Linked DNA regions of Callithrix jacchus. The protein of the gene in region 1 interacts with the protein of each later gene in a biochemical or structural test. Links are inferred from orthologs where the notes say so. Each region holds a gene or a part of one and is shown in the gene's direction. Other genes may lie near its edges. The genes, in order: TEK, ANGPT4 and ANGPT2.

The links.
Region 2: the proteins of TEK (region 1) and ANGPT4 form a complex in vitro, tested with the Homo sapiens proteins (2 studies listed by BioGRID and IntAct). The link is inferred for Callithrix jacchus from reciprocal best matches to the Homo sapiens genes TEK and ANGPT4.
Region 3: the proteins of TEK (region 1) and ANGPT2 form a complex in vitro, tested with the Homo sapiens proteins (7 studies listed by BioGRID and IntAct, with this or other methods). The link is inferred for Callithrix jacchus from reciprocal best matches to the Homo sapiens genes TEK and ANGPT2.

Annotation. Positions count from the first base shown.
Region 1 is NC_133502.1:134,401,168-134,404,890, forward strand, and holds part of TEK (angiopoietin-1 receptor), read left to right. Parts: intron 1-1,308; coding exon 1,309-1,419; intron 1,420-3,723. UniProt on the Homo sapiens protein: Tyrosine-protein kinase that acts as a cell-surface receptor for ANGPT1, ANGPT2 and ANGPT4 and regulates angiogenesis, endothelial cell survival, proliferation, migration, adhesion and cell spreading, reorganization of the actin cytoskeleton, but also maintenance of vascular quiescence.
Region 2 is NC_133506.1:8,628,957-8,632,679, reverse strand, and holds part of ANGPT4 (angiopoietin-4), read left to right. Parts: intron 1-2,410; coding exon 2,411-2,566; intron 2,567-3,723. UniProt on the Homo sapiens protein: Binds to TEK/TIE2, modulating ANGPT1 signaling. Can induce tyrosine phosphorylation of TEK/TIE2. Promotes endothelial cell survival, migration and angiogenesis.
Region 3 is NC_133514.1:9,418,121-9,422,420, reverse strand, and holds the start of ANGPT2 (angiopoietin-2), read left to right. Parts: upstream 1-1,500; 5' UTR 1,501-1,840; coding exon 1,841-2,128; exon of another isoform or gene 2,129-4,300. UniProt on the Homo sapiens protein: Binds to TEK/TIE2, competing for the ANGPT1 binding site, and modulating ANGPT1 signaling. Can induce tyrosine phosphorylation of TEK/TIE2 in the absence of ANGPT1.

The DNA of each region.
Region 1 (3,723 bases):
ATCTCTGCTTTCTGCATTGTTAAGAACAACAAAACAAAATATATCTATGATTAGAAACAGCAATATATTTCTTTAAAAACAATATCAACTACTTGCAAAACAGCCAGAAATCCCTTTTCTCTTTTGCTACTTTAGTCACAGGGAGTCTTGGGGAGCAGTGAGGATAGTGAGAGGAGAGGGGTGTAGAATCTTAGGAGGGCAGTTTTTATTGGGATCTGATGTGAGCCTGATTTTCTGTCTTGTGCCCATGTGAAGAGGGAAAAGAGCTTAATAAGGCACCAGAGCAGAGAAATCCTGCAGGCGAAGCTCTGCATCCAAAGAAGGGCAGTTACTGAAGTAAGCGGACAACCTCCCTGTAAAGAACTTCTTTAAAAAATTATTCCCAAGGTTTGACCTTCAGTGAGGCTTCTGCAGTCTGAACAGAGCACCTGACTTATGGGTACCCTTAGCCCCTCCTGAGACAATTGTCAGTTTCTAAGCATGATCAGGCATGTCCATGGCCACTAGCACCCCACTCCTACCCTTGCCACCCAGTGCTTTTTTTTGAAAAACAGCATAGCTCATTGTCTCCGACACAAGACTGATCAGTTTATGTACCAACCAATAGCCTTCTCTTCAGTCTGGTCCCTGGTGATTTCTCCCTCTGGTCAGAGTGCTAGTGGAGAGACAAGGCAAAAGGAATAGAAGCAGATGCAACTCAGTTTCCTGATTCCCATGCAACTTCCATAAGACACCATTTGGATTTGATTTGTTTAGCTCAATTAACCAGATTAAGACTGATTTGTAAAACATAAGTTACAATCAATGAACAAAGATGCATGCATTATTGGTGATGTTTCATGGAAACTTTGGTTCTATTGCTTAGTTGTCTCTGGATGGTAGATTTAGCTGGAAGAGCTAACGTCTAAAAGATGGTACAGCTCCACCTCTACCAAGTCATTTACCTGAGGATCTAGGAGCTTAAACAAGAAAACTTTAGAGTACTGGTTGGTTCTCATCCAGAGGTGGTTTTGCCTCTGGGGGCATTTGGCAATATCTGGGTACATTTTTGGTTGCCTATCAGCACATAGTGGGTAGAGGGCAAGATGGCTGCAAAACATCCTACCATGCACAGGACAGTACCCCTTAAAAAGAATGATCATCCCAGTATCAATAGTGCCAAGGCTGCTGAGAAACTCTACTCGAGAAGTCTGTATACAGTTGATGGTGACTGAGGGTACCTGAAGGTTCTGGTGGGGGGCAGGACAGGACACCTGATTCTGAAAAGGTGTGACAAGGATGAACCACAACTTTTCACTTTCTTCCCAGAATATGCCTCTAAAGATGATCACAGGGACTTTGCAGGAGAGCTGGAAGTCCTTTGTAAACTTGGACACCATCCAAACATCATCAATCTCTTAGGAGCATGTGAACATCGAGGTGAGATGCTCTTTTCCTGCCTTTCCTGCCGAATTTTTTTTTTTATAAAACAGATATATTTCATACTGATATAAGGAAAGATAATGATCTTAAGAATGTTGCTTATTTTTTAAAAGTTGCATATTCTATCTGAATGTCTCTCTAGTCCCATTTATAGATTGTGCTGAGGTTTGCCATCGTTTTGGAGGTAGGTACCGAGGCTGGACTATTTAGCCTCTGAGGCGGTTCAGACATTACTGAACAAAGGTATTCATGGCTCCTCCCTGCCCCATCCTTGGTCATCCAGACATTTTCTCAACTACCACCACTACTAAAGTATAGTAGGGCAGCCCCCAACATCAGTTTCTTCTTAATTCCCTATCTTTACATTTTTCCTGGAAACCCAAGGACGAGTATTCTGAATGTTAAAAGGCATGAATGCCAGCAATCTACTGAAATATGAAAACTGAGGATGCTTAGATTTTTAAAATAATTATAATAAGCTCTCATGCGATGGTGCTTTGTTTTTATGTAGAGTGCTTTCATGTACAATTACCATGGAGCTTTACGTCTATCCTATGTTGCACATGCCTTTAAAGTTAAATTTATGTTATTAATTCAAATGTTTATTGAGCATTTTCTATTGTAATGTGTGAAATTAGTGGTGAGGGTGTAGGTAACGACAAAAGTCTTCTATGAGTTTACCTCTGCAAAGCTGCATGGCCTTGTCCTTCTGAATTTGTGCTTAAACTTCATTTCTCATGGAAAACTTTGCTCCCACGAAAAGCTCCATGCAGTAATTATTTTACAGACTTGACAGCCTCTTGTTGACTTTGCAGGACAAATAGCAACAATAGAAGAGACTACTTCCCTTTCCTCAATTTATTAAACTAAAAATACTGGTGCTTCCAACAATATATCATTCTATGAACCAATGAGGGTGTAATTCTGAAAGCCAGATCATGTCCCTTAGGTTAAATAATGAAGTAATGACATTTATTTTTTGAGCTACTTCCTAAAAACAATAATCAGCATGGGACAGGAGTATAAATGAAAGTTAAACACCCCCCCACACACACACCCTGCTGTCCTTGCTGATGGCACTCCCACAAACATGGTGAGTGTTCTTAAAACCTGCCTGACTTTCTGTTCAAACCCCACAAAGACACAGTACAAAAGGGCAAAGATTCTCTGGATACCCAGGGCAAGTGGTGTTATGACAGGAAGCCAAGTGGCGGTGGTGGATAGAATAAACCAGTTTTCTGGAAAAAGCCTAAAACCACAAAGAAGACTCTGCTGGGGCTTTAGTGTGCTGACCCCGCTGCAGATCTAAGAGAATGCTGGCCGTGAGGGACCCAGGCACTTCGCACTCAGAGGAGATAAGAAGAGAAATGGCCAAGTGATCCAGCTGTAAGCCTCATCTTTTGTTTTATTCTGAGGACAGTAAAATCTTGAGGTGATGTTTACCTCATTTGGTTGCAATTGGTCTTTTGGGAGAGAATAAACTACAAATATTAATGCAGCTTTCTTAGTGGAGGAGGAGAATGTGACAACAAAAATATATCCCTTAAAATTTTGCTCTGTCATCACACTAGCACAGTTAGTTGGCTCTTAAAATTTTAAGATAAATTATTTGTACATATTTACGAATATATGTTATATAAATATTTATTAGTAAATTAATAAATACATTTTAAAATTATTTTAGAATAATTCAGTAAAGATGTGAGAAAGCACATTTATTCCATAATTTAGGTCTAACTTTCCTTATAGTGCAACTGGATACCATACCAGATTTCTTTTTTTGCTAGAGTTTTCAATTTCTTAGAATATATTTCAGGCTTTTTTCTTTCTTGTTTTGAGCCAGGGTTCCACTCTGTTGCCCAGTCTGGAGTGCAGTGGCACAGTCTGGGCTCACCGCAACCTCCCTTTCCCTAAGCTCAAGCAGTCCTCCCACTTCAGCCTCCTAAGTACTCCCAAGTACCTGGGACTACAGGGATGTACCACCATGCTTGGCTAATTTTCGTTTATTTTTATTTTGGTAGAGATTAGGTCTCACTATACTGCCCAGACTGGTCTCAAACTCCTGGGCTCAACCAATCCTTCTGCCTTGGCTTCCCAGAGTGCTGGGATTACACGTGTGAGCCACTGTGCTGGGCCTCAACTTCTAATTCATTCAACATAGAAAAAACATGATTTACCCAAAAAATTCTTCTTTAAAAAACAGTGAAATCATTTTACATTTTAATAGGCATAAATGTCAATGTTTTTAGCAAAGCAAACTCCCTTTTAAAAAAATTTTTTGGCCAGGTGCAGTGGCTCACG
Region 2 (3,723 bases), on another chromosome or scaffold:
AGGTGGGAGGATTGCTTGAAGCCAGTAGTTTGAGGCTGCAGCGAGCCACGATCACATCGCTGCACTCCAGCCTGGGTGACAGTGAGACCCCAAAAGGCAAATGGACTTCCCCAGATGGAGAGATGTGACTGGGAGTGTACAGGAGGATGAACACTGCAGGTTATGTTTATTCTCCATACTTTTTTTTTGAGATACAATCTTACTCTGTTGCCCAGGCTGGAGTCCGGTGGTGCCATCTCAGCTCACTGCAACCTCTGCCTTCTGGTCTCCTGCAATCCTCCTGCCTCAGTCTCCTGGGTAGCGAAAACCAGAGGCTTGTGCCACCATGTTCAGCTAATTTTTGTATTTTCAGTAGAAATAAAATGTCATCAGGTTGCTCAGGCTGGTCTCAAACTCCTGGGTTCAAATGATCCACCCTCCTCTGCCTCCCAATGTACTGGGATTACAGGTGTGAGCCACCGCACCTGGCCTCTATGCTTTTTTATATGTGTGAAATGTAACGTCATTATATTATTAACATTATAGTTTTTTTTTAAGTAAGGGTGGGTGTGGAGGTGAGAATGTGGAGACAACTTGTAGAAGTTTTGTGTTAAGGAGACCAGAGAAACTGGAGAAGCAGCCAGAGAGGCTGTGGGGTCAGTTTTTAGATGGAACTTGTTAGCACATGCTGTGTCCTACAGGGAGTCGGGGGTTAATGATGCAGAGAAGGATGGAAGGAGGTCTCTCTGGTCTTCAGTCCCCCCTGCCATCTCTGCGTCAAGGGCTCTCACACTTGAGCAAGTATCTAACGCAGCCAGGGAGCTGTTAACCGCAGCTGGCTGGACACCGTTAAGTTTCCAGTTCAGTAGGTCTAGGGTGGGACCTGGAAATTCTCATTTTTCATAAACTCTCAGCTGATGCTGATGAAAGAACCATACTTTGACATAGTCTAACCAATACTACTACGGCCCACAAGCACCCACTCCAGGATTTGATAATGGAACATGCTCCCTTTGAAACACTCCAGGGGGAGGAAGGGATGGGAGTGGACAGTCAAGATGGAAGAAAGGAGAAGAGATGAAGGAGGAAGTGGCTGGAGCCTGGCCAGAGCAAAGGTCACCACCTCTCCTGGGGAGCACCCGTCTTCCCAGGGACCCTGGGAGCTGTCCAGTTGGACCTTCTGAAAGACTGAGTGAGAAAGCAAGGGAAGGAGCCAGGGACGGGGATGGGGGGGTGTGGTGAGAGGCCAGCATGTGTGCCAAATGGAGAGAGAATGGTGGGGCAGAGCTGGCTCTCTCCCGACAGGCACTGAGCCCTAAGAACACACTGTTCACCTTTACAACACAATCCTGGTGCTGTACCAGACCAACTCTCCTGCCCTTGGGAAAGAGAGCAGCCCTGTCAAAGAAATGAACATTAGCACGTGGGATCCCAGAACATCAGAGCTGGGAGAACCCTTGGAGACTGGCCAGTCCAGCCCCATTTGCAGATGGAGGAGACCTGAAGAGAGAAAGCACAGCTTGGCCAACGGACCTGCAAACTCTTTGTACAAGGGAGAGATGCATTCCCACTCCCTGCTGGATGGCTCTCCCCGAGGAAGTGGGGAAGGGGCATGTGGTTGGGTGCTGTGCTCTGACCCTTGCTGCTTCCCCTTTTTCATCAATTCATTAAACACATCTTTATGAGCACTTGCTGTGTGCCATGCATTGTGCCAAACATAGAAATAAGATAGTGAGCAAAACCAAGTCCCTGGCTTCATGGAATTGACATTCTAGAGAGAGAAACAGACAACAGACAGATAAAAAGAGAGGTAGTGATTTTAAAAAGTCAAGTGGTGATAAGTGGCATGAAGAAACCTGAAACAACATGAGGGTGTGTGCCACGCAGATGGAGTGGGGGCTGGGGGAGGATTCCAGAGGGAACAGTGAGGAAACAGCATGTGCAAAGGCCCTGAGGGGGGCGCAGGCTTGCTTTGTTGGGATGTCAGGGAGGCATTGCATCGGGATTGAAGTGAGTGAGGGAGAGGGGAATAGGAATAGAATGAGAGTGTAGCGGCAGGCCCGGTCACGGAGGAACCTGCAGTCTTGGCTTTTCTGAGTGAGGTAGGAACCCTGGGAGGATTTTGAGCAGAGGAGGAGTGTGACTTGACTTAGGTTTAGCAGGATCCCTCTGGCTGCCTAGAGGGGGAGAACCGTGAAGGGGACAAGGACGGAGGCAGAGAGGCAGACAAAACATATATGTGATCCCTCCCAAGGAAACATCTACTGTGACTGTCCAGGCAAGAGGTAAAGGTGGCCTGAGCTGGCCCGGCATGTTCTGAGGCAGGGAGGCCTCCTGTGCCTGCTCAGTGCCCTTCCATGGAGACACATGGGAGGGACAGGGGGCTTCCCCCAGCATCTCCCCTGTGACCCCAGCCCATGGTCTCCCACAGCTAGAGAGGACCATCAAGATGCGCTTGAGGTTGGAGCTGGTGGAAGCCCAGCAGCAAATGGTCCACAATCAGACGGCCCCCCTGCTGAAGCTGGACATCAGCTTCCTGAACCAGACCACTGCCCAGACCCGCAAGCTGACGGACATGGAGGCTCAGGTAATGGAGAGTGAGTGAGTGGGCACTGAGGGCCTGTGACTGGCCAGGCTGGCTCACAGCCCCAATCATCTTACCTTGACCTCTGTCCCTGGGTAGGGTCAAGGCCTCCTCTGGGCCTGTAGCCCCCTGGGCCCCTCCTTTCTGATGACCTTCTCATAAAACTATCTCCCTCTAAGCTATGAGCCCTGGGAGGTGAATGCTGGACTTGGCTTTTCTGCCTCTGTAACTTCAGTGCCGGGGTCCGTGCTGGGCACTGGGAGGAGGGGTAGAGCAGCACAGCCCCCCTACCCTCAGGAGGCTTATAAGGCACTAGGGGAAGATAGATAAAAAATAATTATTTGGGCCTCCGGGAGCCAAGGACTTGGAGAGAGGAGGTATCTGAGCAGCAAAGAGCAGGGAGGGAACTGGTGAGAAAAGGGAGGGTGGGGAAGTCAGTGGATGAAACAGTCAATAACAAATGGACACAAGTTTCTGCCCATTTGTTTGTTGGATCCCCTGTGTGCTGGGCACTGCTTGAGAAGACTGTTTCTAGCATATAGCAGGAAACAAAGCAGGCATGCATTCCTACCACTGTGAGGCTTCCCCTGGAAATGGAAAGATAAATGACATATGTGGTTATGCGCTACTTAACAACGTTCCCGTGAACAACTTACCACACAGACAACGGCAGGCCCATAAGGCTCTCACACCCTGTTTTTACTGCACCTTTTCTATGTTTAGATATGCATACACAAATACCTCGCAGGTGGTAGAACTGCCTACAGTATTCGTACAGTCAGGTGCTGTACGGGTTTGTAGCTTAGGAGCAACAGGCTGTCTCATATAGCCTAGGTGTGTAGGCGGCTACACCATCCAGGTGTGTGTAAGTACACACTATGATGTTTGCACAATGACGAAATCACATAACGATGAATTTCTTACAACATCTTTGCATCGTTAAGCAACACGTGGCTGTATGTGTTAGCCAGTGGCCGCGCTAAGGAGAAAACAGCGTGGAAGACAGAGCAAGAGGCGGGTGCATTGGGAGTGGTGGGAGGGATGAGAGCTGCGAGTTCACACAGCAAGGCCAGGAAGGGCCATGGAGAAGGTAGGGCTGCAGCCAGGCTTACTGCAGAGAGTGCTCCAGACAGAGGGTGCAGCACGTGCAAAGGCCCGAG
Region 3 (4,300 bases), on another chromosome or scaffold:
TCTGGTGAAACGTATGAACACCTTCTCAAAAGATGACTCGTGCTACTTTATTCAAATATTCAGTAAAGAGACCTAGGGATGGGTTTAATAAAAATATAGTTTAAGTACAAGTGACAGCAAATAAAAATAGCTGATTTCTATTGATGAGGTCACAGATGACACTGTTGTTTGTTAACTACTCATAGATAAGGGAAAGGCTATCTTTCTGTTAGAGCTCAGGGGAAAATAAAGATCTTTCGTAGGTAGATGTGGTCTGCCAAGTGAGGGTACCAGATATTCAGCACTCACTGGGAATAATAAACCTTGCACACTGAGAGCTAAACAGACCACAACACATGTACACGTGGGCTGGTGAGTTAACATATTGTTAACCTCTGACGTATTAAGTTTTAGTTGTTAAAGGAAGTGACTCGTAGGACTTACAGAGCCACGGGATTGAAGTAGAAAAATATTGTGAGTGCACCCCCTGAAACGCACAGATAAGGACATTAGAGCTTAATTAAAAAGGGGAAGTGACTTGCCCGGGTCTAATACCAAGGGGGACTAACGTAATTGATAATATGTTACAAAATGCTGAGAAGTCAACAAATCCTGATACAATAAAAAGGTTTCTGGGCCAGATGAGGGGGCTCATGCTCGTAATCCCAGCACACTTGGAGGCTGAGGCAGGCAGATCACAAGGTCAGGAGTTTGAGGCCAGCCTGACCAACACGGTGAAACCCTATCTCTACTAAAAATACAAAAATTAGCTGGGCATGGTGGTGCGCGCCTGTAGTCCCAGCTACTCGGGCGGCTGAGGCAGGAGAATTGCTTGAACCCAGAAGGCGGAGGTTGCGGTGAGCCGAGATCGTGCCATTGCACTCCAGTCTGGGTAACAACAGCAAAACTCCGTCTCAAAAAAAAAAAAAAAAGAAAAGAAAAAGAATAAATATCAGAGCTCAGAAACTGAAGTTTCTAACATGACTTAATAACAGAAGATCTTCCTCTCCAACTGATTTGAAATGAAAGTCTTTTGTAACTTTGCCAATGGTTCAAGAATCAACTAATGTCAATGAATCTATTTTTTTCCCCTCTGGAAAGGCACGAGTTTACAAGAGCCAAGCTTCTTCCTCTCTATGTGTAATAACAAAAATGAACCGAAGCCCTGTAGTATTTTTATTCCTCAAGGAAAAAACAGGAACTTTCATTGTGCTTTAACATTAAAGTTATTACCTCGGATATTTTGCCAGCTTAGCACGGTGAAATCAGTTTCAGACAAAAGAGATCAACTGCTCTCTCTAGGAAATACTTAATTAGGGTGGTGCCTAGGAATGCCCAGGGGTCCTGTAAAGATCGTTTTTTCCCGGAGGATTTCTGCAGCATGCGGTCCTGTTGGACGGCAGGCATTCTGCTCCGATTTTTCCTGTTGCCTGGCTAGTGACCCCCTACAGGAAGATAGCGGATCAGCCAGGAGGGCGGAGCAGCCCACTACACATGTCTGGCTGCTCTTATCAACTTATCATATAAGGAAAGGAAAGTGATTGATTCGGATACTGACACTGTAGGATCTGGGGAGAGGGAAACAAAGAACCGCGAAAGCTGCTCTGTAGAAGCTGGCACAGCCCTCCCAAGCGAGCAGGACCGTTCTTCCCACTGCAATCTGACAGTTTACTGCATGCCTGGAGAGAACACAGTACTCAAAATCAAGTTTGCTACTGGAAAAAAAGGCAAGAGAAGACTTCCATTGACGGACCCAGCCATGGCAGCACAGTAGCCCTGCGTTTCCGACGGCAGCAGCCCGGGACTCTGGACTTGTGTGCCTTCAAGTTTGCTGAGCTGCTGGTTTGTTCCTGAAGAAAGAATGTGGCAGATTGTTTTCTTTACTCTGAGCTGTGATCTTGTCTTGGCCGCAGCCTATAACAACTTTCGGAAGAGCATGGACAGCATAGGAAAGAAGCAGTATCAGGTTCAGCATGGGTCCTGCAGCTACACTTTCCTCCTGCCTGAGATGGACAACTGCCGTTCTTCCTCCAGCCCCTACGTGTCCAATGCTGTGCAGAGGGACGCGCCGCTGGAATACGATGACTCGGTGCAGAGGCTGCAACTGCTGGAGAACATCATGGAAAACAACACTCAGTGGCTAATGAAGGTAGGAAAATCATCTGTCTTTGCGAACAATCCATGCTATTAAGATCAGCTTGGCAGCAGCTCTGGTTTTAACAACCAAAAAAAAAAAAAAAAAGAGGGGGGATTAAGAGGATTATAGCTGGAGAGCAGGTTGCGGGTACCCTAGGATGAAAGATCATTTTTCTTTTATTCTATCCCAGGGTGTGTGGATAGTCCGGGGGTGAAAATAATTATTTGGAAAGAACGTCAGGGTCAACACAGAAAATCCTTAAAGTTGCAAATCTTTACTAACAAAGTAGAGGAAATACCCTCCTGCACAGCTTGTGTGCCGTTCTGCTTGTTTACGTCGCTGAAGCTCGGTAAGACCCATCACCAGGCAGGCACTCAGCTGACTGCAGGCGAGTGAGGGAAGGCTGTGAGCCACAGCCGCCCGCGAGCCAGAAAGACCATGACAACCCTGCTGATGACCGGGACATAACGGATGGAGTAAAGTGCTTTACCAATTTCCTGAATTTATTTACTAAAGTAGGTTGTGGCTCTTGGTGAACGAGAGGAAATTAAATAAAGCAGACCTTATGTTGCTCAGATGCTCAGGGCTCTATGGCTAAGGGCTTGCTGTCTGTAAATAGGGGCAGTTTTCCCAAGCGTCCAGAAAGTATTCAGCACTGCAGCCCCGGCAGTTCCAGCCACCCGTGTGGAATGCGTCCCCACGTGGGACAGTTATGTTCAAGTCATGTCACGGCAGGACGGTCTGACAGTTTGTTCTTGTTCTTGGGGTGATTCCACTGTTTCACAGATGATTCTGATGCTTCCTAGGCTTTTTATGGAGACGTAACCAAAATAGGATATTGAAAGCTTTTTCTTTCACAGATAATTTTTTTCACGTGTAAACATGGGAGCTATTTATATATAACCATTGAAAAGCCAAGTGACCCTGGAATTTTCTTTATAGGGACTCCATATATTCTAAAGGAAGTTTAAACAAATGCATAAATTAATCGTTAAGCGGCATGCTGAAGCCATGACATCACAATGCTTACCTGGCAAGGGATGTGATTATTTAAAACTACACAAAATCTTTTAAAAGTTGGTGAGCCTCATTTAACACGTTACCCTGGAAAAGCACAATTATTTTGTCACTCTTTCATTTCGCCATCAGCTTTTTGTTAGGACACCTTATCTGAATCTCAGAACAGATCTGGACCCTTTTCTGTGCTTCTCATTACCCCCCTACCTTCAGAGAGGAAACGACTGAGTTATGTGAGCCATGAGCCTAAATGAATGACCGTGAATGAATGTTCCCAGCACCACTGTGACTGTGTCAAGAGGAGTGTTTAAAACAACAAAAATGTACCCGACTGACCCATCAAATGTATGTTCATCTAAAACTCGCCAGCAATGTCTGTTTAAGCTCCTGGCTAAGTGCTTCAGTAAGTTTCTCTCCTTTCCCAGGTCACTGTGTCGTGCTTTTAAACATCTCCTAAAATTCAGAGCTGCGTAAGTAACTATGCTAAGCTTAGAACGTGTGCAGCAACGCAGGCTGGAATACGGGGAAGGCAAACTGTACCCTCAATACCCGCTTAACGTGAACTTCCTGTTTCTTTGTAAATGGTGACGTTTAACAGCTTTCCCACATCAGCCGTGGTTACAGTCACTGTGAGGGATGAAAGACGCATTACAGTAAACCTTCTAAGCTGCCCGGCTGGCAAGTCATCTCCTATAATAAAGAGCCACGAAACAGGAAAGAATGTTTTGCCAAACGTAAGGCTGGTCACTTGTATTTGCTTAATTAAGCCTACATTAGGTATACCTGAAACTCCATAAGCACAGCTCATGTTTCTTTCTTAGGTAAACTACCCCTTCTCTTGGGTCTTTGAGATAGCATTTAAAGACAGAAGAAGACAAGGAATTCTATGTTAGGTGACCCAAATTTCTTCCTTTCCAGGTTCTCTTAGTCAATATTTGAACAGTAGCAGCACAATGGTATTTCAAAAGTCCGCCTTTGGCTATCTAGCTAAATACTGTTTCACCAAGAGTGACTCAATGTTTATCTTTTTGCCGGCTCCACACCTGCTCTCCCCGCCTAGCTCAGCAACGTGCGCCTGAGAAAGGCAGTTTGCGCTCTCACTCGGTTTACAGGCTTCTGGCTTGGGAATGAAAACAAAAAGGCAAAGATGAAACCCACTTAAAGTGA